Sus scrofa: one gene and its partners. The protein of the gene in region 6 interacts with the protein of the main gene of each other region in a pairwise test. Links are inferred from orthologs where the notes say so. Each region holds a gene or a part of one and is shown on either strand. Other genes may lie near its edges.

Region 1 (3,500 bases), on a different chromosome or scaffold from region 6:
AAGTGAAAGACCCTCCCTCCCCCTACGGCAGCCCTTTCTCTCGAAGCTCAGCCGGGAGAGGAGGAGAGGCAGAGCTAGTGCCTGGCCAACAGGAGGGGCCACTGGTGAGTGTGGGCTCTTGGTGGGAGGCCCAGTGGGCAGCGAGAGGTGGGAAGAGGAGACAGTGAGGGTCAGGAAGGGGGAGAGAGAGGGGGTGGGGGACGGGACACAGGGCCACAGGGCAGGGAACTGTGTCCGTAAGAATCAGGCGATGGGGAGCGCTCGATTACAAAGTAGTATTTGTTTGGGGGGGGGTTCAAGTGCGGCAAAGCAACCTGATTGGCTTCCATCCATCGTGTAGCGTCCTGCAAGTGACTAAACTCGACGAAGGCGAAGCCCCGGCTCTGACCTGGAGACAGCATTCAGATACAGACGCAGTGGGTTAGTCAACAGCTTTGGACACACGGTGTTCCCGGGGGTGGGACCCGAGGGGAGAGGACTGGGGGGCAGAGAGGGAAGTGGGGAAAGGAAAAAGGAAGAAAGGGGGAGAGAGAGAGAGAAAAGCAGAGAGAGAAAGACCAGGGGGTGGGAGGCAAGGTAGATGGCTGGGAGGGGTGGGAAGGAGGGAAGCGAGGAAGGGAGGGAGGAAGACAGTCGAGGAAGGTTGGGGGGCGGTGGGGGAGGGGGTACACACACGCCAGCTGGGAAGAGAGAGAGCCAGGGCTCAGGCACACCTGCCTGGACAGCCTGGGGTGACAGAGACAGAGAGAAGGAGCTGGGATGGAAAGGGTCCAAGGAGAGGTCTGTCTCCAGAGAAGGCAGGAGGGCAGAGGGGCCGGCTGCTGGCTCCACACAGGCCAGAATAAACAAGCAAGTGGTGGGGCCCAGCACGAGGCCGGCACAGCCCGGGGTGGGGGGCCTGTCTCAGGTGTTTCATCAAAGGAGCAAACGAGAAGCCAGGTCAGGCTGCTCAGTGAAGCTGGGAAGGCTCCGGGCCCATCAGGAACCAGACGGGGCTAGGGACACCCCGTTGCCTCAGCCTCACCATGGTGCAGGGGAGGCGGGCCTCACTGGGCAGCCGCCTCGGGGCCAAGCTGGGAAGATTACAGCCACCTACGGTCCAGGTCCTCCTAGACGGCAGGAGAACGGGGGCCAGGATCAACCAGGTAGACCGTAAAGAGCCAGTGGGCACCTGGGAGAAGCATCCAGGGCCGCAGAGGGGGCTGCGCCTGGGACACCACTTCAGGACGAGAGAGACCAGAATCCTGTCAGCTTGGCTGGGGTGCAGCAGAGCAAGACCTACATGCCACCGAGAGAGACTCCAGGCCTGGCCAGGGTTGGGAAAAGGATCCAGGGCTTGAGGCCGCAGGAAAGCAGCTCCTTCTTTGGAGGGACACACACAGGGAGGGCTTAGACACGGCGGGACTCGAGGGGCATGCTTGATCTCCAAAAGAATAACCGTTAGGATGCACGGGAGGATGGAACAGTATAATCAGAGGGGAGGAGATAGAGAGATAAGACATGGAGGTGTGGGGAGGAGAGAGACTGAGAGATGGAGAGAGAAGCCCAGGCAGAGCGAGGCCCCACTGTGCCTGCCTCGGGGAGCCTGGGCCAGAGGTCCTGCAGAGACAACCCCCCCGCCCCCGCTAACCTCAGGCCGGGTCCGAGCAGCCTGCAAGAGGGAGGGAGGGAACAAGCGAGGCCAGCAATCCTGGCTGCTCCTTGGGATGCGCCCCTGGACAAGAGCCATCCCCTGCCTCCCCTCTTGGGACACACGGGTGGGGCCATGTCAGACCTACTTTCTGGTCAGAGGCTGTTACCAGAAAAATGTGGGGAAGAGCAAGGGGCAGGGGCAGGAGAAGAAAGGCGTCGACCGGTGGGGACGGGGCTACCATTTCAGATACTCGGAGTCCCAAAGATGAGGTTCCCGGGGGGCCTGGCCCTGGCCCCGCCCCCGGGGAGCACCCGGCCCGGCTCCGAGCCACGCCCCTTCCGCAACAGCCCCACACAAGAGGCTGCTGGCTGGAGCTGGGAGGAGAGTGGGACGAGGGGGAGAGAAGAAGAGAGGGTACCCCCCAAGCTGCCCATTCCCAGCTGTGGCAGGAAGGCAGGGTAAGGAGGGTGGGGGAGAAGGCAGAGGCAGGAGGGAGACTCGGAGGCTGAGGCTGGCCAGCGGAAGGGGAGGGTACTGGAACGAAAGCTCACCTGAGGATTTGTTCCGCATCAGCCGCACCTCCCGTGCTTGGACGCCGTGGGACTGCAGTTGGCCACGGATCTGTACGGGGAGACACGGATTGGGGCAGGCTCAGTGCAAGGGGCTGCTGGGTACCTGAGGCCGCCTGGGGGCCTCTGGGGCCTCAAGGGGTCACTGGCAATGCGCACACACCGTCTTCTCTCCCTCTCTCAGGGCTTTGGCCCCGAGGGACCCCAGCCCCAGCCCCAGCCCCAAACCAGGACCCAGTCTTAGCTTTCAGCCCAGTCTTGCAGAGTGAGTCAAATGAAGAAAGGGGCGTGGTGCAAGGTGAGGAAGCATGGCAGCGTAACAACCCTCAGGGGCGGAGAACGGCAAGAGAGCAAGCGAGCCAGCAGCTCAAGAACGGTGGGCAGGGGTGGTCTGACCACAGGCTTGGTGCAGCCACAAGGCGAGGAAAGCTGGGATGCAATTCTGGCCCTTCACAAAGGGACTGCCCTCCAGCTTGAATCAAGAGACCCACGACACGAGCACCAAACTGGGAAGGCCTGGGGTCTGAGCAAACCCCAGCCATGTGCCCTAGACCATGAATGGAGCAGTAACTTGGGGTGGAGACCAAAAGGCATGGCCGTGGGGTTCAGAAAGCTTCCCAGATGACCTAAGCCAGAGGGAAGCTGCAGAGGCCATTTGGGACCTGGGCCAGGTGGGGCAGGGTCCCTAGGGCAGTAGCACCCTCTCAGAAGATGGGGAGCCTGTGCTGGGCATTCTCGGGCAGCAGCCTTAACGCCTCTGGGCCTCATCAGGTTAAACAACAGAAGGGAGAGTAAACGTACACACACGAGGCTGAAAAAAGAAAGACACAGAGGAGCAGATCAGGACTGCTAACGCTAAGGGCTTGGGAACAGCAAGAATGTGGGCTCCGGGGTTCAGCGGTCCAGGTTCAGACTCCAACTCCGCGTGGCCACTCACTGGCCGCGGGACCTGGGGCAAGTTGCTTCACTACTGGGTGACCGGCTTCCTCATCCGTAGGATGAAAATACAAAGAGTACCTTCCCTGCAGGGTGGCTGTGAGGATTCAATCAGACCTGACACATGGCCCACTGCGTGATACAGTCTCAGAGAAATGTCAGCACTCAGTTACCATCTGACCCTGAACAGGGCAGGTGGGCCAGACTTGAAAAGCTCTCACACACACAGGTGGGCTTTTCTCTGCGACAACATAGGCAGCCAGCGGGTTTCAGAGGAGAGCTGAGCAGCGAACTCCCGGTGGTGGGGAGGAGGAGGAGAAACTCCCGACTAGCCGACCAGTGAGGAGGCTGTTCTAGACGCC
Region 2 (4,007 bases), on a different chromosome or scaffold from region 6:
CCCTTTGACCCGTGTGGCCTCCTTCTGGCCACACATGACCCAGGGCTCTTGGTCAATATGAGACTCCGAGATGCTGACCACCAAAAGGACAGTGCCCTTCCCAGTGGGATCACAGGTAGCCTTGCTAGAACCCAAGAGATCACATCTTCACACATCACTTTTTTTTTTTTTTTTTTGTCTTTTTTTTTTTTTGCTATCTCTTTGGGCCGCTCCTGCAGCATATGGAGGTTCCCAGGCTAGGGGTCGAATCCGGAGTTGTAGCCACTGGCCTAAGCCAGAGCCACAGCAACGCGGGATCCAAACCGCATCTGCAACCTACACCACAGCTCACGGCAACGCCAGATCGTTAACCCACTGAGCAAGGGCAGGGACCGAACCCGCAACCTCATGGTTCCTAGTTGGATTTGTTAACCACTGCGCCACGACGGGAACTCCCACACATCACTTTCTATTATGACATATGATAGCAACCTTCCCTTTAGTATGAAACACTTTCCACTTAAAATAAGTTTATTTACGTACAAAGAGTGAGTCAATACAAAGAAAAATAAAAGCAGCCGTAGTAGGCCACAGTTAAGCCTCTTTCGAGGCCTGGGGTGATCCCCATAGGCTAGCCCTTCAGATCTCTGGATCTCAGTTGCTGTCCTGCCGGCGCTTCCTCTTGCAACAAGGCGAGGAGTTGGGATCATGCCTAGGGAGACCGGGGGACACCTGGCTTGAGGGCCCCTGCCTGCCCAGTACTCCCCGCCTCTTTACCCCCAGGCAGCTGCACCTACTGGATGGAAGAAGGGGACAGTGAGGAATGTGACCCCCTCCCATGCTCCTTTTCTTTCTTTCTCTTCTCTTTCTTGTGTTTTTTCTTCTTTTTCTTCTCTTTCTTGCTCTTCCTGTGGCTCTCAGGGCTGCAAGGGGACACAAAGTGCCAGTGCCTCTGGGGCTTTGGAATCTAGCCAGGGATGGGGCTGCTGCAGTAGCCACTAACCATGTGTAGCCATTTCAACCTGAAGTCACTAAGGGCAACTCCTCAGTACCACCTGTAGCCAGCAACTACCACGGTCGGGGGCACAGACCCTTACTTGCATTCCAATCGTGGCAGAAAATCTGACGATCTCATGGCCCCTTTCCAACCCTCCCACTGCGATTTTCCCCACTCCCACTCCACCCTGCACTCTTGGGGCCAAATTGTGATCCCCTCCTGTGCCACTCACACCCCTCGCTGGGCAGCTAAAGCAACGGGAAGGGGAAGTGGTTCACCACCCCACCCGCCCCAGACCCCGGAAAGTGACTCATGTCTGAACATTCTCTTGGGCCCCTGATCCCACTGAGGAGTCAGGGGGCAAGTGGAACCGCCCCAGGGCTCACAACCTCCAGCGGCTCCCCCCCAAAAAAAGGCTGGAGCTAGGAATTTTACTGTCTGGTGGAGCAAACAACATGCAGAGCGAACCGAGTTCTGTGTCCTAGTAGCACGGGTAGGGTCCACTTATCCAGCCCTTACCCTGGCTCCACCTTCTCCTCTGACCGAGGCTTCCTCTTGGCCGAAGCCAGGGAGACCCCTGGCCGACTGCTCTCCACGCGGTGGTGCTGCCAAGAAAAGCCACTCTGGGGGTGTGCGGGCCTGAGAACCATCCAGAAAGCCAGTAGGGTCCCTTCGAGGGGAGACGATTTGCCCCACGGCTTTCAACAGGAAGGGACACTCATCCCCACCCCCACCCCAACATGGGATAACCAGGATGTCGGGAGGAATTACCGTGAACACCGAAAGCCCCAGTTTAGCGGCCTCTTTGTCTTCCCGTGACAGCGCCACTCGCCCTGCAGAGCCACTGCGGGGACGCGGGTGGGGACCCCCCCCCACAGTGAGACACCCTCTCCCGACAGCGAGGACCACCCCATCCCCACCCGTAGGCCTCCCTAGAGAAGTGATGAGTTCAGACGACCCATAACGGCTTCCACCTGGGCGGCTGACAGCGCCGAACCCCGGGGAATTGCACCCTCGCGATTTCTGGGGTCCCCGAGGACCACCTCCCCAGCCCCGCACCTGGAGCTGCCCAGGCCCAGGAGCCGGTCCACTCCCTTCTCGGGGTCACTTCCTTCCCGCTTACAGACTTCGACAAAGTCCTGTGGGTGGGGGGGAGTGCAAGCGCTCACCACAGCGTGGGGTCTGCCCCCCCGCCCCATCCCGCCCCCGTCCTCCAAGAGGGCCCACCTCTCACCTCCTTGCTCAGGCCCGTGGGCTGCTTCCTTACGTTCTTGTAGCCTCTGCGGGGGCCGCGCGTGAGCTTCAGAGAGTGGCGGGCCTCTCCTCGGCCCGCGCCCCCGCCCCCGCCCAGCCCCGGTCTCCGCCCTACCCCCAACCAGGAGGTAATTCCCCCCCGCCCCCAAGCTCCCGAGGCTCACTCACAACGCTGCCATAAGCGCTTCCTGCTCCGCCTGCCTCACGGCCTCCAGCTCCTGTTCCCGGCTCAACCCCGCGCCGTGCGCCCGGCCCTTGGCGTACCAGGTGAGGTCACGGCCCTTCTGCCAGCGGCCCACCGGGGCCATCAGCGAGTTGCCTGCGGGATACCGAGCGCCGAGTCCTCGGTACGGCGCTGCAGGTTGGCGTACCTCCAGCCCGAGAGACACCCCCGCCGCCACCCTGGGTCCCGGCACCCCGCTCACCCAGGTAGTTCTCCCTCTGTTTGTCAGTCTTCACATCCTCCCAGCTAAACTGATCCTGCCCACCGCGCACTCCACCCCGGCTGGAGCCGAACATGGTGCCGGCTTCCCGCTACCCAGGCCCCACCGGCCCCCGTTTCCACCCCGCGTCGCACGCAGTGACGTCATGCGCGCTTGCACCGCCCCCGCCTGCCTCTAACGCCTGCGCACTGCTGTGGCCCTGGCCAAAGTCGGAGGCTGCGGCAGATACCGCCGCATTATTGGAAGCCACTGTCGTGGGTCACAGGTAATGAAAGGGACTAGTATCCATGAGGCCATGGGTTTGATCCTTGGACCGGATCTGTGGGTTAAGGATCCGGTGTGGCCATGAGCTGCTCGCAGAACCGGCTCGGATCTGGTGTGGGTGAGGCTGTGGCTGTGGCATAGACCCGGCAGCTGCAGCTCCTGCTAGACGCCTAGCCTGGGAACTTCCGTATGCTGTGGGTCCGGCCCTAAAAAATAAATTCGAGTCACGTTGTGTGGGTGACACCCCCGAGTCATCGTTGCTAGTGTGTGCTGTTTCTGGCCCTGTGCTGGGGAGAGGGGTAGGCACTGGGGGAGACTATGTCTGAAACTGTTTCCCTACTATAGCTTCCCTACCTTATAAACCGGGAGCCACCAAGGTCAGGTTGCACCTGCACTGGCCTGTTCTCCACCCTTGGGGATACCAGCTGTGTGGCTCCCAAAAAAGTATGGAAGCACACCTCATTGCACTCATACCTCAAAGAGCACAGAAAATGCCTCAGTCACCCTCAAGGTGTTCACTGGCAGACGATCCTCATTCAACAGTTTTGGTCTTTGCTGCTCAGTATCTATAGTAAGCTAGTTGTTGGGCAAGGGTGTTCGGTTTGTCATCACTGCAGACCAGAATAGATTCAGTCATAAGAGGTCCTAATGAGCAGAGAGGAGTGCCACTCCATTGGCCAACTCCTACTGAACTGAAACCATAAGATGAATGTACTGAGGAATTTACACGGTGCCACACATGTTATCTGTATCCCTTCAGTACTGGTCCTCTCACAAGACATGGCCCTCCTGCAGGTTGCTCAGTGAGTTCATCTGATAATGGGGGGGGGGGGTGAGGTCTTTCACCTTGCTCTCCCTCACCTGCCTCACTGCTTAAGGGCGTTCTTGAGCAAAGATGAGGAGGTCAGCAGGGCCTGGAAGTGCATAGCCACACATTGCTGGGATGGATTGGGGTGGGAGGATGTCCCTGTGCAGCCGCACAGAATGGTGAGTGGACCAGAAGGGGTCAGGAGTGGGGGAGGTTCATCTCCCACAGGCTGTTGGCTCCTACCTACTGGGTCAGGCCCAGA
Region 3 (2,363 bases), on a different chromosome or scaffold from region 6:
TGCAACGAGCCCAGTTTAAAAATTACATGCCCCCAGGAACACAGGCCTCCCAACCAGGGACAGTGTCCCTTGGGCTCATTAAGGGACTAGAATGACCAGGTACAAAGCCCTAGGGGACGTCGTGCCTCAGCAGTCACTCAGGTTCATCGGTTGATTTCAGTGACCAGAGTCATTCCCAGATGACCCGTGTCCCCCGTGTCCCCTCGCACACGCTCCGGCGGCCCGGGCCCCACGGGCTGCAGAGCTCACACTGGAAGATGAGTGAGAGGGGAGGCCCTGCTTCAGGAGCAGTGACGCCTGGAAAGGAAGCTGGCACTCCACCTTCAAGTCTGAGGTTCACGCGACGTCTAGGCCTGGCGTCTGAAGCGAGTCAGAGCACAGCCTCCATTTCCCAGGGATCCGACTGTGCCAGCGCTGGAGCTGAAAGCCCTTCCGGATTTTAAGGGCACCTCACACTTACGAAACAGGATCACAACCCTCACACGACTTCCTAGGAGGAAGGGCTCAAGGGCTTGTAACTCTTGGGCAGCACTGAGACGCAGTGAATGGTTTTAGGGCTACGCTTGTCCATCTTTTAGGTATTCGGGGCCATTCCTTTATCTTATTCTTAGCTATTTACAAAGTCATCAAACTACCCCTGAAAAAACAGCACATTACTGTAGCGGTCCCAGGATGTCCTCTGAGGTGCTGCTTTTGTGAGAGGCGACTGCAGAGGGGTCGCAGGTCCGATTCGGGGACAGCATGTCAGCAAGGCGCCTCAGAGCTGCGGGCAATTCCGCTGTTCACCTTAACAGGCAACCTCAAAACTGGATCCTCAAAAGGTACGAACAGAAGCACGTACACCCTTCAGCAGAGGAAAAGCAATCTCACGCAGACAGACAGACAGACTGTGCTGGCCCCGCCCGGCGCCCGAGAAGCTCCCGCCTGCCGGCGAGGGAAGGAGCTCAGCTTAGCCCCCCTGCACCTGCACCCGCACCCGCACCCGGTCCCTCGGGGCTGCTGACACGTCTGCTTGCGGGGCACCGGGGATGTTGATGGAGTCTGTCTGGCACGCGGCCTTGAACAACAAGCCCACTGCAAGCTGCACGCAGACACAGCTGCTCCTCTGGGCATAACCTAATCACTGCTGACTAATCTCCAGTCTTCCTTATCCTACTATGGCTTTGGGCATTTCCTTTTTTTTTTAAAGGTCCATTAACTTTACTTAAATGTTTCCATCCTTCCTCATTTCTAAGGGAGACTGTAAATTCGGATGTTACAACCGGAAACAGCTTGAAGGTAGGAGCTGGTGTCTTATCCCTTCTTCAATGCAGCCTCAAAGGTTTTTTGCTAGTAATTCCATAATTTATGTTACGCACAACAATAAGACTCCCCTCTCTATACTCAGAGAATGGGGGAAATACAGACACTGTATTTCAACAAAATGTTTCTGAAAGAACAGACTATCTGGAAAAACAGATACAAAAAACAGAAATTCCTACCCTACTAAATGGGGTGGGACCAATCAGATTTTACAAATGAAAAAAAAATCCTGCTTTATTCAGCAAAATACAACATCTCATTGTACTGCTTTTGCGCTGTGGACCTTCCATTTAAACAAAGCTTCCCCCCTTTCTCATAATTGTCCTGGTATTTATCACGTTAAGGTTCTATGTTTATTTCTAGCTCCTGAAGTATCCGCATTTTAATGCTCGAACAGCCCGTTACATTTTCTTTAAAAGCTGCCCCATTCCATTTTGATTTAAAAAATAAAACCAAAAAACCACACCACGACGTACAGGTAACAGTCCAAATGGAAAAGTTAATACGCTATAATATTTGTTCTGCAACATCGAGAGCAGCAGAGATACCGCATATAATTTGCTTAAATCATAAATACTGAGATTGCCGTACGCATGTGCAAAAGTCACATGTAGCCTCGACGCACCAAACGCCCTCCACGAACACACAGAGGTCTCTGTGAAGTGCACAGCGAGAAACACCACCGTGGCCCCGGCGTTTCAGTACTCCCACTCGTCAGACTTCTGGTCCAGATAGCTGAGAATGTTCTGGGCCAGCTTCACCGCCTGCTTCCGGGCAGCCTTGCACTTCTCCTCCCCCTGGGGGTCGACGGCGTCCAGCGCCAGCAGCTGCTTGGTGAGCAGCTCCTCCAGCCGGATGTAGTTCTTATCGGTTCGGTTGCCGTCGAAGGCGAGCACCTCCTCCTGGATCTCTGACAAGTGCCCCAGGATGGTCCAGACGGCCGCGAGCGAGGGGTGCTCCGCGCTGGCCAGGGCCCGTCTCTTCTCCAGGGCCTCCCTCAGGTCCACGTAGGTGATGAGAGTCTGCACCTCAACCACCGCCCGTCTCCTGGCTTCCCGGAT
Region 4 (4,162 bases), on a different chromosome or scaffold from region 6:
CAAATCTGCCTCTCTCTGAGCAGCCAGGAACAGGGCGCGCTCCTTCTGGAAAGCTGCCAGCTCTTCTGAGCTGAGGCTGCGGGTACAGAAAAACAGACGCTACGTGAGGGCCTGGCACTGGTGGGGGGCTCACAGGTGCCCACGGCACCTTCTCAGAACCCCTCCTCCCCCGCTGGACTCCCCAGCCTCCAGGGCTCTGCCCATCTGTTTCCTCCGCCAGGAATGCCACCCCCCCATCGCCTCTGCCTATTATTCCCTTCTTGAAGCCCTACTCAACCTCCGAGACCTCGGCTACATCCCAGGCCAAATTAACCCACTTTTCCTCTGTGCCCCAAAGATTCTGTACAAAGAGGTCGTTAGCTGGTGCCTGTATGTCTCTCTTAGAGCAGGGATCACATGCACTCACCTCTGTACAAGTGAAGACCTGAGCAAAGTCAAGTCCATCCCTGTCCCATGCTTAACCCCACTCCTCTTGGGAAACACCAGCAGCAAGAGGCCAGCGAAGGGCTGGGTGCTGCCTCTGCTGTCCACGCCGGATGCTCTCCCACCTGACACCTCACTTCAAAAAAAACAATTCCTGAGGTCATCGGAAGCCCCATGAGGGGACCCCTCCTGGCCTTGGGGTCAAGTCTGAATTCAAGAACACACTGGTCCCTGTCTGCATCCCCTCTTCATACTATTTCCCACTCCGCCTCTAGTAGCACACACCCGGGTCACACCGAACTTCTTTGCGTCTCTCTCTTCCACCTTACATTTTTTCCACTTCTTGGAATGCTTGCCCCCACTCCTTGACCTCGCTTCCCAGGGCTCTACTTAGATGTCAAGGACTCTGCAAAGCTTTCACTGACACACCAGGCAAAATCAGGAACCCTAATCCCTGTACTCAAGACACCTGTAGTTCCTTTTAGCCACACCGACCATCCAACAATATAATTCTCCTTTTATGAATTCGCCTCCATCTCTGGGCTGTGAGCTCCTTAGAAGCCAGACCCAGCATGGCTACCTCCTTCCCAGCTGCACCCAATGTCCAGGACAATATCTGACGAATATTTAATAAATACATTCCAGTGAATGAGGCCCTGCACTCCCAAGAATCTAAGCTCTCTTAAGTCAGGAGCTGACTCTCCCACTCAGTGGGTCCTCATCTTTGTCCCAGGGTCAAGAACTTTCCAGACCCTCCCCTGGACACTCACTCTTTCACCACACGAATGCCCAGGGAACGGGCAGAGCCAATGATGGAGCGAACAACAGAGGACAGCGGCACGTCCTGCAGGGCGAAGGCGTCATCCTGAGCTTTGACGCGGGCGATCTCGTACACGTGCTTCAGTGTCACCAGGCCTGCCACCTCTTTTCCTGGGAGGAAAGAACAAGCTGTTCTTCAGAGGTCACTGCTTCCTTCCAGAGCCTGCAGAATCCCCATGCCCACCCTGCCCCTTACCTGTGTGCCGCGCCCCCTTCTCAATCCCGGCAGCAGCCTTCAGGAAGTAGGAAACAGTGGGTTGACCAATTTTGATTTCAAATGTCCTGTCGGGCTTCACAGACAAAAGAAATATGAGACTACTTCTTTCTCTCTCCCCCCCCACCCCACCCCTGCTGCCTCTGCCTGGGGAACTTTTAACTTCCTGTCCCTCCTTTTCCCCAAATCACCTTCCTATGATGCCCATTTAACTGACCACAAAACCACAGAAAAATTCACCTGCCATAAACATCCCTGTCACCTCTCTTCCAGACCCAACTCTGCTCTGGAAGCCCCAGCAAGCTGGAGGGGCAAAGTTAAGATCTGCAATATGGCAGTAGATGGGGGGCTCCGGAAAGATACGGACTAGTCTCCACCGTGTAAATGGGGACAGTGGGGCCCAGGAACAGGATGACACGTGCCCCAAGTTAGAAGCAGAGTAGCAACCCCAAGCGACCAGCTTCAGGACCTGGGGAGAAGAGGGAGAATGAGAAGGAAACTGGGGGTCAGCGTCCCAACTCCGCACCTTCACAAAAATCTTGGTGGGCAGAGGAATGCCTTCTTTGATGTCCTTTGTCTTTTCGTTGAACTCCTTACAGAACTGGTTGATGGAAACGCCTCGCTGTGACGGAGGCACAGGGGTTAGCGTGGGGGCGCAGGGAAGCTTCCTACCACCCAGGAGGCTCTCTGTCCGTTCTCTCCTCCGTCTTCACTTCTCTAAGTTCCCATCCTTTTTTCTCTACCCAGATTCAACGAGCATTTTCTGTGCCAGGTGATCTGTATGCTTCCACGTCTGTCTAGGCTCACAACAGCTCGTCGAGGAAGGACTGAAGAAGCTCTGTGACCAACCCAAAGCCATACTGCGTGTGGACAAGCAGATCCATGTTCTAAACCGAGGCCGCCCTGGCTCCAGCCCGCACCCTCCACGCGCGTACTAGCGGCCACCCGACCCTGGCCTCCCACTCCAGGTTCCCGCCGCGGCTGCACCTGACCCAGGATGGGGCCGAGTGGGGGTCCGGGCCTGGCCTGGCCTGCCCGCACGATGGCCCGGATCATGCCGCTGGCCTCGGGCTTCTTGAGGGCCCGAGTGGCCCGGCTGAGCTTCGACATGGTGCGGAGTTCCTGGCCTTAATTCATCGCAGGTCCACGGCAAGAGCGAAGGCTCCGGGCGCCGCCAGCTTGGGTTAAAGGTCAAGGGTCCTCACACTAGGATAGGACAAATGAAGCCAACAAGTAGCGTTGATTCCGTCCTTCCGCTCTCCCACTAATGACAAAGGGAATGAGATGAAGCGGGAAAAACCTTTAACGTGCCATCTTAAATTGAGGAAGGACCCGAATGGCTCGGATACGCACGTTCCTCCTGGAGAGCACACAGGCACTGCTTCAGACACCTAAGCGAAAAGAGGCCCTCAGCCGCCGCCCTGTCTTATGGGTATGGTAGTTTTGCCCTCTTAGGAAAACCCCACAGAGTGGCGTGTCCTGGAGCGCCATCTGCTGGACACGGAGATAATCTCTGGGTTTGAAAATAACCTAGAGCTCCTTTTTCAGGCGAGGGAATTTCTTCATTTTATGAGCCCGTGTCTTCACCTGCTGTTGAAAAGAAATATTAAGAGTATGGACTTGGAAGCAAATTGCCTGCTTGCTTCTCTTGCTTGGCTGTGAACTTGACCAAGTTATTTATGCTCAGTTTCCTCCTCTGTAAAATGGGAATTATAGAGAGTGGACTTGTGATTGCCGGGGGGGGGGGGGGGGGGGGGGGGGGGGGGTTGGGTTGGTGGATGCAAGCTGTTTAGAACAGATAATGATGGGATACTGCTTTACAGCACAGGGAACTGTGTCCAGTCTCTTAGGTTAGAACATGGTGGAAAATAGAATTAAAAAAAAAAAAAGAATGTTTATATATGTAGGACTGGGTCATTTTATGTATATCAGAAATTGAAGGAACAGGAGTTCCTTTCATGGCTCAGTAGTTAACGAACCCGACTAGGATCCATGAGGATGCGGGTTCAATCCCTGGCTTTCTCTGTGGGCTAAGGATCTGGCGTTGCCATGAGCCATGGTGTAGGTTGAAGACGTGGCTCATATCCCGTGTCGCTGTGGCTGTGGTGTAGGCTGGTGGCTACAGCTCCAATTTGACCCCTAGCCTGGGAACCTCCATATGCTGTGGGTGCAGCCCTCTAAAAAAAAAAAAGAAAAAGAAATTGAAGGAACATTGTGAATCAACTATACTTTTGTGTGTGTGTGTGTGTGTGTGTGTGTGTGTGTGTGTGTGTGTGTGTCTTTTTAGGGCTGCACCCTCGGTATATGGAAGTTCCCAAGCTAGGAGTCGACTTAGCCGGTCTGTGACCTACGCCACAGCTCACGGCAACATTGGAACCTTAACCAACTGAGGGAGGCCAAGGATGGACCTTGCATCCTCACAGATACTAGTCAGGTTCATTACCACTGAGCCATACTTTAATTTAAAAAATTTTTTTTAAATAAACAAAATGGGAATTATAACATGTGGCCCCCTATACCCTGGGGCTAGTTGTGAGCGTTAAGTTAGCAAAGTGCTTTAGGATAGTATCTGTCACCTAGTCAACGTTTGCTATCACTGTACAATAAGGACAAAACCTTCCCGGAGCTGCTGGGAGGCTTATGAGGCCCCGAATGTATTTGATACATCATCTGTGTCCAGTAAAATAAGCCAGGTTCTTATGATTT
Region 5 (3,803 bases), on a different chromosome or scaffold from region 6:
GCTGATTCTTGATAGTATAAAATTTAACATATATATGAAATCATTAAAGTACTATAAAAATATAAAGCATTAACAAAATATGTCCATCATTTAAAAAAATAATAATTTGTAGAACAATATTTATAGCATAATTTCATTGATTTAAATCATACCTTCCATAGTATATATTTTAATGAAAATTATAGAATGAGAGGATATGCACCCATTAAGTTTTATTCAGCATTATATCATTATCCTCTACCACACGTGCCTGGCACGTGGCAGGCACAAAAATATATTAGTTGAATGGCTAAATAAACTCATGCATTATTGTTGGGATTTTAAATTGTGATCATTTTTTCTGGAGAGAAGCTTGGCAATATGTGTCAAAGAGTAAAATGAGAATACAACTCATTCTAGCACTTCCATTTCTAGGAATTCATCAGATGACTAGTTTTTACAAGTTCATATAGCAGGTATCCAGGGTTAACTTTTTTAACAACAGGAAAATGTACGTTAGTGGAAAGATGGTGCAGGGAGTAACTGCCCTACAAGAGGAATCTGGTTAAGTAAATTAAGGCAAATATTTCCATGAAATATGCATCTATTTTAAAATAAAATATTGATCGGTTTCTATGAAAGTATAGCCACAATTAACTGATAAATGCACAGGTTACAAAACATAAGTTCACAAGATGAAACAGTATATATAAATAGGCAGGCATGTACATGTACAAAGAAAATTCCAGAAGGAAATGCATCAAAATGCTAACAATAGTTATCATTTGATTAAAATTGTGTATTTCTATTATTATTTTAATTTTCTATATTGTATTTTCCCTTACAATGCTTACATACTTTGACAATCAGGAATAAACAATAAAACTAAATTCATTTACAAAATAGAAAATAAAAGTGTTTCTTAATTTATAAATACATGACTAAATGACTAAGCACAAATCCTATAATAAAGAAGCAACATAAAGATTAATCTTACTTTAATATTTTTCCTCATTTGAAATGAATAATTCATCAGATGTTATGTTTTAATTTGCTACTTGCTTTCTATGAGCAGGTTTAGAAAGTGAATGTCATTAATTAGGTTATTTTCCTCATTAATATTCTAAATCACCTCTGTGGATTTTTCTGCTTACATAGAACTATCTTCCAATTAAGTCTTTAAAAGACTCTGTCGTGAATTTTTATTCAAATATATATAGGTAATTCTTGTCATTCATAAAAATGGGCTAAATATGTTCCTTACCTTTTAATGAAAAGTAAACACGGGTCTTTTTGGTTGTACCAAGGGAGTTGTTCTGTGGCAGAAAAGAATCCTGCAAATAAAAATAACAGCTGTTTTTAAACTTCATTTTGCAAGTTTATTCACATATTACTGGATTTGTAAATCATACTTTAGTATGGCTAGCATTTTACAATTTTAGAAGGAAACTGGTGGCAGATGACATTGTAAAGTATACCCTGACAGAGGATGCAGTTTCATCAGCACAGACTCCCCCTCCCATCCTGCTATTCCTGGAATGGAAAAGTGCTGCATGAAAGTATAGAACAAAGCGTCTGCTTTTAAAAAATACTACCTAACATTTGAATGCCCTCTTATTTTATCTACAAGGTTGTTACAAGCATTGAGAAGGACTACGTGGCAAATCAGCAGCAAGGTTGGGGTTTATTACACGCCAAATTAAAAGGAGAAATATAGTAAAAAATGGTGTAACTGACTCACGGCAACATGGGTTCGCAAACCTTGTAGATGGATATAAACCAGGCTTGCCAAACACCACAGACAGCACTTATTAAAACTGTTACGTGGAAGGCAATATGCCTGCTTTCTAGCCCCTCCCCGCTTTGCCAATAAACGACTCCCTCTTTTCCCCCCAGTGTAAAAATACATGCTCATAGAACATCTAGATAGAAGAAAGAGAATTAAAAAATCATCCACAAGCACACTACCCAAAGATGTCATTTGGAGTATTTTCATCCAATTTTTAAAAAACAGATTTTTGTCACGAGGCCCCTGACAAACCAAACGGGAATTAATGAAGGGCAGATGGGAGAAGGATACTCCTCTTCCCTTGTTAGAAACCATGACTAGTATTTTTACCTCATAGCTAAGCTTTTTTTTTTTTTTGAATTATAAAACTATAAGGATAAAATTTTGAGGGGGAAAAACGTCTTCCTGGGGTATGAGCCTTAGCTACCTAGGAGCGTCTGGGAAGGTGGGCGGAGTCTGGAGGGGGCGGTGCTTTTGGCTACTCATTGGCCTGAGGGTTTGTCGATCAAGCATGCCTAGCAAATGAGGTGAGAGCTAAAGGGCACACTGGGAACGAAATTAACGGGAGGTCTGACGGCTAGGGGAGGGGGGGGTTCAATATCTTAGTAGTGAAGAGATCTCGGGGTCTCGCACTGCGCCATTCGGCTGAGGCACGCCTCGGTCCGCAGCAGCTGCAGCCGGGAGAGCCCTTACCTCTGCCGCTCTTGCTCAGGCCTCCAGTGTCGCTGCCGCCTCCGCGGCTTCAGCCCAGCCCCACCCCGCCCTGCACTCCTGCTGCCTTCGCCGCTGCCCCGACCTCCACCGCTGCCACCCAAGCATCCGTGAGTCATTTTCGGCCCATCTCTGTGCGCGCGGTAGTCACCACGCTAAGCGGTTTGCAGGCTTGCAGAATGGCAGAAGCGGATCCTAACAGGGTCTCGGGAGCTGCGGCCCAGGGGGTGGATGAAGAGATGGTGGCTAGCTCGTCTAGCGATTCTGGGGAAGAATCTGACAGCAGCAGCAGCAGCAGCAGCTCTAGCAGCAGCACTAGTTGCAGCAGCAGCAGTAGCAGCAGCAGCAGCAATAGCCGCAGCCGTTTCTATAGAAAGAAGAGGGTACCTGGGCCTTCCAGAAGGGCGCGGCGGGCTCCGTCGGGTAGAAGTTTCGTGGATCAGCTGCCTCGGGCAGTTAGAAATCGTGTGCAGGCGCTCAGAAATATTCAAGATGAATGTGACAAGGTAGACGCCCTGTTCTTAAAGGCAATTCACGAGCTCGAAAGAAAATATGCCGAACTCAATAGGCCTCTGTATGATCGGCGATTCCAAATCATCAATGCAGAATATGAGCCCACGGAGGAAGAATGTGAATGGAATTCGGAGGATGAGGTGTTTAGCAGTGATGAGGAAGTGCAGGAAGAGGGCCCTAGTGAAATGCCTGCCTTAGAGGGTGAGGAAGAAGAGGACCCAAAACCAAAACCTGAGGTCAAGGCTGAAGAAAATGCAGCCCCTAAAGAAAATCCCGAGGCAAAGGCTGAAGAAAGAGCAGAGTCTAAAGATGCTCTGGAGGCCAAGCCTGAAGTAAAGGAAGATCCAAAAGAAGCCCCCCAAGCAAAGGCAGAAGACAGAGAGCAGCCTAAAGCAACAGAGGCGACTAAGGCCAGGGTTGCTGTAAAAGAAGCTCCTAAAAGAATTCCTGAGGTCAGGCCTAAAGAAAGGGCTCTGAAAAGAGCTCGCAAAGGAAAGCCTAAAAGAGAAGATCCTAAAGGCATTCCCGACTATTGGCTGACTGTCTTAAAGAATGTTGACAAGCTGGGACCCATGATTCAGAAGTATGATGAGCCCATTCTGAAGTTCCTGTCAGATGTTAGCCTGAAGTTCTCAAAACCTGGCCGGCCTATAAGTTACACATTTGAGTTTTGCTTCCTACCCAATCCATACTTCAGAAATGAGGTGCTGACCAAGACATATATAATAAAGTCAAAGCCAGATCACAATGATCCCTTCTTCTCCTGGGGCTGGGAAATCCAAGATTGCAAAGGCTGTAAGATAGATTGGAG
Region 6 (4,072 bases):
TTATTCCAAAAAAGGGCACATCCAGACTTTCCTGCTTTGGAAGGAACTAGCTTATACTGGTGTTAACACACCAATGAGTATTTGATGAAAATGCTAACTTTGCTCATTTTTGGGGGACAGTTTTTAGTTGTGCCTTTATTACCTTAGTTTGTTAAAAATGGACTTGTTTTGGAGTTCCTGCTGTGGTACAGTGGGTTATCGATCCAGCATTGCACAGCTGCGGTGTAGATCACAGCCACAGCTCGGATTCAATCCCTGGCCCAGAAACTTCCATATTCTCCCAGTACTGGTGCAGTGATTAAATTAAAAAATGTACTTGCTTTAAAATCCTATAACTAGAATTCCCGTTGTGGTGCAGCCGAAACAAATCTGACCAGGAACCATGAAGTGCGGGTTCGATCCCTGGCCTCGCTCAGTGGGTTAAGGATCTGGCGTTGCCATGAGCTGTGGTGTAGGTCACAGATGTGGCTTGAATCTGGCATTGCTGTGGCTGTGGCGTAGGCCAGCAGCTGCAGCTCCAATTCCACCCCTAGCCTGGGAACTTCCATGTGCAGCTGGAACAGTCCTTAAAAAGACGAAGGAAAAAAAAAAAAAATTGGAAGGTGGGTAGCTGAACAGCCTGCGATGGTGTCACCACCTCCAGACCTACTCCCTTGACTTTGAAAGTACTGGAGGCCAATCCATCAGCTTTCAGAAATTCTAATAAATCAAGAGTAATATTAAGATATCACCCCCTCAAATGAATCTGGAAGTGTTGTGTTTCTCCCCTTAGAAGGGAAACAGCAACACTCTCAAGATTTCTCTATGCTCCCTCAGCTCTCTAGTGTTACACCAAATGTACAAAAATGTATCCACATTCCCTGTTAAACATAAAAGGCCCCACCCTCCAAACTGAAGGAATACTTAAGATTTTGCTCTTGAAATTATTTCGCTATAAATCGTATAATTTATCACTGGCTTTTATTTCTTTAGCTATCATCCATTTACGGTTGAGATTATTGCAAAACACTTTTTATGTGATAACATCTGTAAATATAGAATTTGGCTGAATGAAAATGCCATCGTGCAGACATCGGATTATCATTGTCACTCTACTTTTCGGCTTTCTTTGGAGAGACCTGTTTCCTCCTAGGACCTCTAAGGTGAAACCGGCCCTAGAACTGGGAACGTGTCCCCCTCCGAGGGCTTCTTCCAGGTCCGTGACAGCCCGGCTGATTTTATCATGCACAGTGTACCACTACTGCCCGTTAACATAGTGTGCTCAGCCTGGAGCTCTCTCTAAAACTCAGCAGTCCTCAGGAGCAGAGTCCAAAACATCCTCCCTGAAATCCCGCCCACGTCAATGCCTAAATGCTGTGATGCTGGACTCCCCCCACCGCAGGGGATCAAAGTTCGTGACTTCCCGGCTGTTTCCTCTTCAACTTTACGGCTAAAGTGGCATTACTACCTGGCTTCTCTACGACCCTGGTGGTGAGACCCAGCTGCCTCTCGGTCTGGACACCCCACGACTCACGGGAATTCTAGGCTTCGTGGGTGGGCCGCGAACTAGCTACCCTGAGCTCCGCTAGAAACTGGAGCGCGAGGAACAGCCTCCGCGGCGACGCAACCGAGAACGCGCATCCCGGGGCGGAGCGCCGCGGGTGACGCCAGGGGCACGCCCACCGCTCCCCGTCCCAGCGCCAGACGGCGCCCCGCCCCTCCCACTAGGTCTCGCGCGGACACGCGCCTGGCCCCGCCCCCGAGCAGGGCCGCGCGCCCCCAGCCCCTGCGAGGCCCAGGAGGCGCTCAGGATACTTACTTGTGGAAAGAAACGGGCTTGTCCTTGTCATATCGGTTCTTGCAGCCGTAGGCGGAACAGGACTGCACCATCCTTCCGGTCCTGGTTACTTCACTTCTGCCGCCCCAGCAGGCAGTTGAGGCTGCTATCAATGTCGTCGCGCTCGACTTTGACACCCTCTCTTCTTCCGTAGCTTTGGTCAACAGTTACAATGACGAGAGGCTCACTCGGGAGCGACTAATGTGTCCGTTTTGTTGTTTGCATTAGCAGAAGGACCACAGCCATCGCCCGTCTCCCGTCTCCAAGATGGCGGAGACAGCTTCAACCTCACCTCTCGCGAGGCGTTAGTCCTACTGTCTCTTGATTAGCCCTGAGGTCAGAGGTAACGTTTCTTGGGAAGCAGGCCATTGGCTGAGTCCCGCCGCGCGGCGGACTGAGCGTTGCGGAAGTGGGCGGGGCCTCCGAGCTTCCGGAAGGAAGGAGTAATTACCTGGGAGAGGGGGGTGGGAGCGCAGGACCGATTCCGCCCCGGCGGTGCTGCTTGGGGTTACTTATGCTGGGCGGTTCAGATTCGCGGCACTCTACCGTCTATTGGGTCTGCTGGCCTGAAGCAGGACAGGTGTAAAGCTGAGGTCGTTGCATAATTGCCTTGTTTCTCTAAAAGGGCGGTCCCAGATGGCGTGATGTGTAAAACTTGGTGGACTCCCTTCCCGGCCCGCTAACCTCTCTTACCTGCTTCAGGTATTCTGAGGCTTTGCGGAGCCCAGGTGAAGAGTTTAGCCAGGAAAGCCCGCACCTGCACACACCGCGAGCCCAGTCTCTAGGGGCTTCTCTCACTAATGCTGCAGTTATCTTAATGATCTCCAGGTGCCGTGTTGGGACTCGCCAACAGCTGCAGCCCTTTTGGCCGGCTCCTTTCGTCTGTGTCGATAACGGGCTGTTGAGTAATCTCATGGCTCATAATTTCTTTTTTTTTAATTGGTGAGCAAGACTAGCATAGGCCCAGTCTTCGTAGCTTAAGTCCTAGTAAGGGGAAACAGACAATAAAAATGTAAATAAAATCACAGTGTGCTCAGGTGCCTGAATACATTAGAATGCCGAGATGAGGGTAGTAAGGAGAGGGTCACTGCCTACTCTCTGAGAAGGGAATGTTAAATCTGAGAACCAAACAACGGGTCGGGGGGAGAGGGTTTCTGCCACAAGAAGTGCGTGCTAAGGCCTGGAGGCAGTAAAAAGGTCTGTCTTCTAGGAACTGAATGGGGCCTGCAATGGCAGAGCCCAGTGAGTGGGTGGGGGCATACTGCAGCGTGAAGCCGCTGAGCCATTTTAGGCGGGGAGAGACATGATCTAATAAACGTTTTTAAAAGGCCATTCTGGGGAGTTCCCGTCGTGGCGCAGTGGTTAACGAATCCGACTAGGAACCATGAGGTTGCGGGTTCGATCCCTGCCCCCACTCAGTGGGTTAACGATCCGGCGTTGCCGTGAGCTGTGGTGTAGGTTGCAGACGCGGCTCGGATCCCGAGTTGCAGTGGCTCTGGCGTAGGCCGGTGGCTACAGCTCCGATTCGACCCCTAGCCTGGGAACCTCCATATGCGCGGGAGCGGCCCAAGAAATAGCAACAACAACAGCAAAAGACTAAAAAATAAAAAAATAAAAGGTCATTCTGGCTATTATGCCAAGAATTTATCAGGGAGGGGCAACAGTGAGTGAGCAGACCAATTAATAAGAGCAGACCAATTAAGAGGCTGTTGCAAGCAGACAGGAGATTGGCAACTTTGGACCAAGGAGTAGATGCCTATGCTAACAGGTAGAAACACCAGGGCTTGCTGGTAGTGGAAACAAGAATGAGGAAGACACAGAGTTCCCACTGTGGCGCAAGTGGAAACGAATCCGACTAGGAACCATGAGGTTGCAGGTTGGATCCCTGTCCTGCTCAGCAGGTTAAGGATCCGGAGTTGCGGTGACCTGTGGTGTAGTTCGCATACGCGGCTCGGAAATGGCGGTGCTGTACCTGTGGTGCAGGGCGGGCAAGCTCTAGCCCCGATTAGACCCCCTAGCCCGGGAACCTCCGCATGCCTCGAGTGTGGCCATTAGTGGCCCTAAAAAGACGAAAAAAAAAGGAATGAGGAAGGAGTTCCCCCTCCCTCCTGGCTCAGTGGTTAACAAACCCGACTAGTATCCGTGAGGACTCGGGTTTCAATGGGTTGAGACCCGGTTGCTGTGGTCTACCTCACGTGTTTCTCGGATCCCAATTGCTGTGGCCGTGGCTAGCAGCTACAGCTCCGATTAGTTCCC
Region 7 (3,973 bases), about 51 Mb from region 6:
CTACACGTGAGGATCAGGGGGACACAAGGCAGTGACAATCTGGACAGTCACCTGGAACCAAAGGCCCAGGGAAGACGGGCATGAGAAGGGAAGCGGCTCTGCCCCCCATCCAGCCCAAGGGCCAAGTGACTCCTGCTACCCACTCCCCAGGTGAAGGTGCAGCCCCAGGAGTGCTCACTCTCACTGGGTCCCAAGTCCCCTACCTGCGTGGCCTGGGCAGTCTCTCCCCAGAGTTGAACGACCAACCCAGGACTGCACACCCCCACCCCCTCCTCACTCCCTCCAGCCACCAGCCCTCACCCAGACTGCTGCTGCCTTGTCTCTCGTCTGCCTGGCACCCCCACTCCACATCTGCTTCCTCAGAGCGGCTCTGCAGCCACACACACACACACACACACACACACTCGCGGGTCACACTGTTCCACGGCAGGCACAGCTGCCAGGGCTCCCGGGGGTGGGATGCAACCTGGCTGCCCCAGGACCTCTGCACCTGCTGCTCTCACTGCCTGCAACACACCTGCACCGCCAGCCCTCCAGAGTTTTGTTCCAATGACACCTTGGGGGAGGGCTTGCCCACTGAAGACAGTGGGCAGTCCCGCACAGCCCACCCCTCCCCACTCGGCTTTCCCCCACCGAAGCCTACCTAACCCACAGACCATCACGCGTGCGTCTCTTTCACGACACGAAGGGAGGCAAAGACATCCGACCCGGCCACCCAAGGTGCGGAGAGCCTCAGATGTCCTGCAGCCTGGCCGTGGAAGGGGCTGAACTGGCCCCCTCCCTGCTCTGGATGGCATCTCTGCTCAGGCTACAACCCTCCCATCAGCCCCAGCAGGCCCCGTGCTAAGAACATCAGAGGAGACGAATGGTCGCCAGAGCCAAGGGCTCAGTGCCACTCAGCGCTCATCTCCCATGATGGAGCCTCAGGCGGCGGAACACCAGCTCCCTGTGGCCTCCAGACCTGAGAGGCATAAACGCAACTCCCAGTCATGACCCCCAACTCCCCCAAGGGGCCTCCAAGGCCCTGGGACCCACCGGGAGTCTCCACTGGCTCTCACTCCCCACGAAGTGGTGGCCCCAAACCCGCTTCCAGCCCACACCTGCTCCACCGCCTCACCCTCCCTGGACTTCCACTCCTGCAGCTCTTCCTCTGGATGCCCTCCCCAGTCCTGCTTGGCCCACCCACCCTCCTGGGCTGCGGGCCCATCTCAGTCCCCACCTGGGGGGCACTTGCTTTGTCTCCTTTGGGAGGGAGAAGCTTCTTTCTCTGGAAACAGCTGTAGATGTTCCCACACCCTGCTCTGTGCCACCCACAGTCTCCCAGGGGTGTGAGCGTCATGCCGGGATTGGGGGGTGCTGCCTGCCGGCTGACGGACGAATGAAAGCGTGGGAGCCAGCCCCAGCTGCAGCCCCAGGGTAGAACTCTGTCCGATGCAACCTTGCTTAGCCCAAAACGCCACCCTCTCAGGCCCACGGCAGAGCCTCTGCCCCGCCCCCGGAGCTCAGTCTGGGGAGAGACAGGCCATGTTTACTGAGCCTCTCGGGGAGCCAGCAGGACACCTCTCTAGCCCCTAGAGGCAGGTACCACCCACCCAAGATGATTCTTGTGAGGGTTCAGGTGGCCAAGGTCCAAGGGGAACTGGAGACCCATCCACCCGGCCCCTTTCAGAGGCCTCGGTGCAGCCTTCCCCAAAGACTCACTGGCCGAGGGACCACAGAGGCCCGGCCACACAGCCTGCACGGCTGGCCCAGGGTCCAGCGCCCAGGCACCCCCAGGACGGGCCAGGGGCCTCCCAGGGCTCTCTCCGGGGGTGTCTACACATCGACCCGTTCCCAAGAGCTGCGGGCGAAGGAAGGGAGAGAATTTATTAGGGAAGCCTAGTTCTTGGAAGACTGAACAGACAAGGAAGAAAATGGGCCTACGCCAGGCAAGGCCTCCAGCCGGCTACTAAAATGAGATAGAGGGCGGCGGCCCCAGACCGGGCAGAGGTAGGGGAGGCGCTTTTTCTCCAGAGGGAAAGGGGGTCCAAACGCATACTACAAACTCTTGAAGGCCAGGAAAGGGATGTGGAGACTCGGGGTGGGACAGAGAGCTCTGAGTCGGCGGTGGGGCTCTGGGGGAGCTGGGGGGGCGGGGGGGCAGCGAGGATGCGCAGGTAGGGGAGGAGGAAGGAGAGAGGGCGGGGCGGCCGGTAAGAAAGGGCTGAATCAGCCGGGGCTTCCGCTAGGCCTGGAGGGGCGGGGCCGAGGAAGGTCTCCGCCGGCCCAGCCTCCTGAGGGGGTCCGGAGTCAGGGGACCCCAGGCCTGCGGGGTCTCAGCCTGGCGGTTGGGGTCTGAGTCCAGAGCGGGCAGCTCCCGGGACAAGGTCCAGGCCGGATCGCGGCCTCTGCCGTGGGTGCGAGGTGAAGGGCAAGGCCAGCCCAGGGTGGGGGGTCTCGGCCCCCTGCGGGGGTCTCCCCGCGTCCCGGGAGTCTCTGCCTGGCCGGGGTCTTGTCCTGACCCTCGGGGGCTCGCCGCGGCCCTGGCGGGGGCTCGGCAGTCTCGGCGGGAGCTCGGCGAGGCGGGGGCCCTGGGGTCGTGGCGGCCCGCGCCCCTCACCGCGCTCTTCTTGGTCACCATCTTGTCCAGCCTCCGGGCGATCCGCGCAATCTCCTCCTCCTTGCCCATCATCGCCTCGGGGGCAGCGCCCCCAGCGCCCGCCGCGCCAGCCTCAGCCTTCCGGCCCAGACCCCAGCCCCGGCCGCCGCAACCTCCCGCACCCGCCGCAGCAGACGCAGCCCCGCCGTGGGCGGGAGACCCCCCGTTCAAACTCCCGGCCCCCGCGGCGCCGCGCTGCATCCTGGGACACGTAGTTCCCCCGCCCGCCAACCACGCGCGCGCTCTCCCCATCCCAGACCACAACTCCCAAGAAGCAGGCGGGCGCGCCTGGCATCTTAGGAAATGTAGTCCTGACGCGGGCCACGGCCCGAGGCCCGCGGGCCGGAGGACTCGCAGCCGCACAAGCTCCGGAGCGAACCGGTTAGCCGGCGGAGGGCGCTGCGGCGGTGTGGCCTCCGGCCGCGCGCGTGGGGGCCGTACCGCTCGCCGCCAGACTCTCCGCGCGGGGCCTCAAAGGCGCGCGGGGCCTCAAAGGCACGCCGGGGTCCGTCCCCTCTCTCCGCCTCCTCCACCTCCCGCTGTGCCTCGGCCGCCGCCTGAACGCTCTGTCCTGGACTGTGGCCGCGGGCCCGCGCGGGGCGCCTGGAGGTGGAGGGAGCAGTAGCCGGGTGCGGAGTCTGGAAGAGCCTAGGGGTGGGCTTAGGAAGGCACCCGGGGACTTGGAGAGGCTGCGTGGGCGGGGCCCCTCCCTCCGGAGTCAGCTTCCAGGTGCGAATCCCAGGCTCTCTGTCCCTCAGTCTCCCGGCCGGGAACGGGGGCGGTGGTAGTGCCTGCCTCACAGGGCCGCTGTTGGGATCAAGTAAGCTGATTCACGTCGTGCACCGAGAACAGGGCAAGGGACGGGAGCAATCAGATTGTCATCACCGTAGCTGCTGGAGGGCCCTGGGAAGGGCCAGACTGCACTCAGCTGGAGAGCGGAGGGATGGCCCTGCCCTGGGGAAGGCTGGGGAGAGGGGCAGGGCCAGTATCCCCATCCGAGGTCGGCCCCCTCCCCAGTGATGCATAGGCTGGGCGGTTTGCCGGAGGTGGCACAATTATGGGGCAGAGTAGAGGCTCAGGACTGTTATCTGTCTCCAGTGCTGTGGGCCCACAGTCACTGAAATTCAGGCCAGGAGTTCCCTTTGTGGCTCAGCAGTTAATGAACCTGACCAGGATCCCTGAAGATGTGAGTAAGATCCCTGACCTCGCTCAGTGGGTTAAGAATCCAGAGTTGCTGTGGCTGTGGTGTAGGCCAGCAGCTGTAGCTCTGATTTGACCCCTACCCTGGGAACTTCCATATGGCGCAGGTGTGGCCCTAAAAAGACCAAGAAAAGA

What was found.
Region 1: the proteins of THAP1 (region 6) and RBM10 interact in binary tests that used the Homo sapiens proteins (3 or more experiments, as listed by UniProt). The two-hybrid records come from large-scale screens. The link is inferred for Sus scrofa from reciprocal best matches to the Homo sapiens genes THAP1 and RBM10.
Region 2: the proteins of THAP1 (region 6) and C2H1orf35 interact in binary tests that used the Homo sapiens proteins (3 or more experiments, as listed by UniProt). The two-hybrid records come from large-scale screens. The link is inferred for Sus scrofa from reciprocal best matches to the Homo sapiens genes THAP1 and C1orf35.
Region 3: the proteins of THAP1 (region 6) and BAG5 interact in binary tests that used the Homo sapiens proteins (3 or more experiments, as listed by UniProt). The two-hybrid records come from large-scale screens. The link is inferred for Sus scrofa from reciprocal best matches to the Homo sapiens genes THAP1 and BAG5.
Region 4: the proteins of THAP1 (region 6) and MRPL11 interact in binary tests that used the Homo sapiens proteins (3 or more experiments, as listed by UniProt). The two-hybrid records come from large-scale screens. The link is inferred for Sus scrofa from reciprocal best matches to the Homo sapiens genes THAP1 and MRPL11.
Region 5: the proteins of THAP1 (region 6) and FAM133A interact in binary tests that used the Homo sapiens proteins (3 or more experiments, as listed by UniProt). The two-hybrid records come from large-scale screens. The link is inferred for Sus scrofa from reciprocal best matches to the Homo sapiens genes THAP1 and FAM133A.
Region 7: the proteins of THAP1 (region 6) and TCEA2 interact in binary tests that used the Homo sapiens proteins (3 or more experiments, as listed by UniProt). The two-hybrid records come from large-scale screens. The link is inferred for Sus scrofa from reciprocal best matches to the Homo sapiens genes THAP1 and TCEA2.

What each region holds. Positions count from the first base shown.
Region 1 is NC_010461.5:41,790,898-41,794,397, reverse strand, and holds part of RBM10 (RNA-binding protein 10), read right to left. Parts: intron 2,255-3,500; coding exon 2,185-2,254; intron 389-2,184; coding exon 315-388; intron 1-314. UniProt on the Homo sapiens protein: Binds to ssRNA containing the consensus sequence 5'-AGGUAA-3'. May be involved in post-transcriptional processing, most probably in mRNA splicing. Binds to RNA homopolymers, with a preference for poly(G) and poly(U) and little for poly(A).
Region 2 is NC_010444.4:51,238,526-51,242,532, forward strand, and holds C2H1orf35 (multiple myeloma tumor-associated protein 2), read right to left. Parts: upstream 2,801-4,007; 5' UTR 2,750-2,800; coding exon 2,656-2,749; intron 2,550-2,655; coding exon 2,399-2,549; intron 2,257-2,398; coding exon 2,211-2,256; intron 2,116-2,210; coding exon 2,036-2,115; intron 1,821-2,035; coding exon 1,748-1,820; intron 1,647-1,747; coding exon of another isoform or gene 1,582-1,646; coding exon 1,496-1,581; intron 903-1,495; coding exon 777-902; intron 692-776; coding exon 634-691; downstream 1-633.
Region 3 is NW_018084979.1:2,104,974-2,107,336, forward strand, and holds part of BAG5 (BAG family molecular chaperone regulator 5), read right to left. Parts: coding exon 2,001-2,363; 3' UTR 1-2,000. UniProt on the Homo sapiens protein: Co-chaperone for HSP/HSP70 proteins. It functions as a nucleotide-exchange factor promoting the release of ADP from HSP70, thereby activating HSP70-mediated protein refolding.
Region 4 is NC_010444.4:5,977,129-5,981,290, reverse strand, and holds the start of MRPL11 (39S ribosomal protein L11, mitochondrial), read right to left. Parts: upstream 2,801-4,162; 5' UTR 2,567-2,800; coding exon 2,444-2,566; intron 2,079-2,443; coding exon 1,983-2,078; coding exon of another isoform or gene 1,697-1,982; intron 1,533-1,696; coding exon 1,439-1,532; exon of another isoform or gene 1,438-1,438; intron 1,354-1,437; coding exon 1,194-1,353; intron 77-1,193; coding exon 1-76.
Region 5 is NC_010461.5:76,148,349-76,152,151, reverse strand, and holds the start of FAM133A (protein FAM133A), read right to left. Parts: upstream 2,304-3,803; intron 2,220-2,303; exon of another isoform or gene 2,196-2,219; intron 2,190-2,195; exon of another isoform or gene 2,099-2,189; intron 2,079-2,098; exon of another isoform or gene 1,948-2,078; intron 1,914-1,947; exon of another isoform or gene 1,721-1,913; intron 1,314-1,720; 5' UTR 1,244-1,313; intron 1-1,243. Other genes in the region: NAP1L3 (nucleosome assembly protein 1-like 3), read left to right, coding at 2,659-3,803.
Region 6 is NC_010459.5:11,770,522-11,774,593, forward strand, and holds the start of THAP1 (THAP domain-containing protein 1), read right to left. Parts: upstream 2,801-4,072; 5' UTR 1,870-2,800; coding exon 1,799-1,869; intron 1-1,798. UniProt on the Homo sapiens protein: DNA-binding transcription regulator that regulates endothelial cell proliferation and G1/S cell-cycle progression.
Region 7 is NC_010459.5:62,880,166-62,884,138, reverse strand, and holds the start of TCEA2 (transcription elongation factor A protein 2), read right to left. Parts: upstream 2,801-3,973; 5' UTR 2,672-2,800; coding exon 2,600-2,671; intron 1-2,599. UniProt on the Homo sapiens protein: Necessary for efficient RNA polymerase II transcription elongation past template-encoded arresting sites.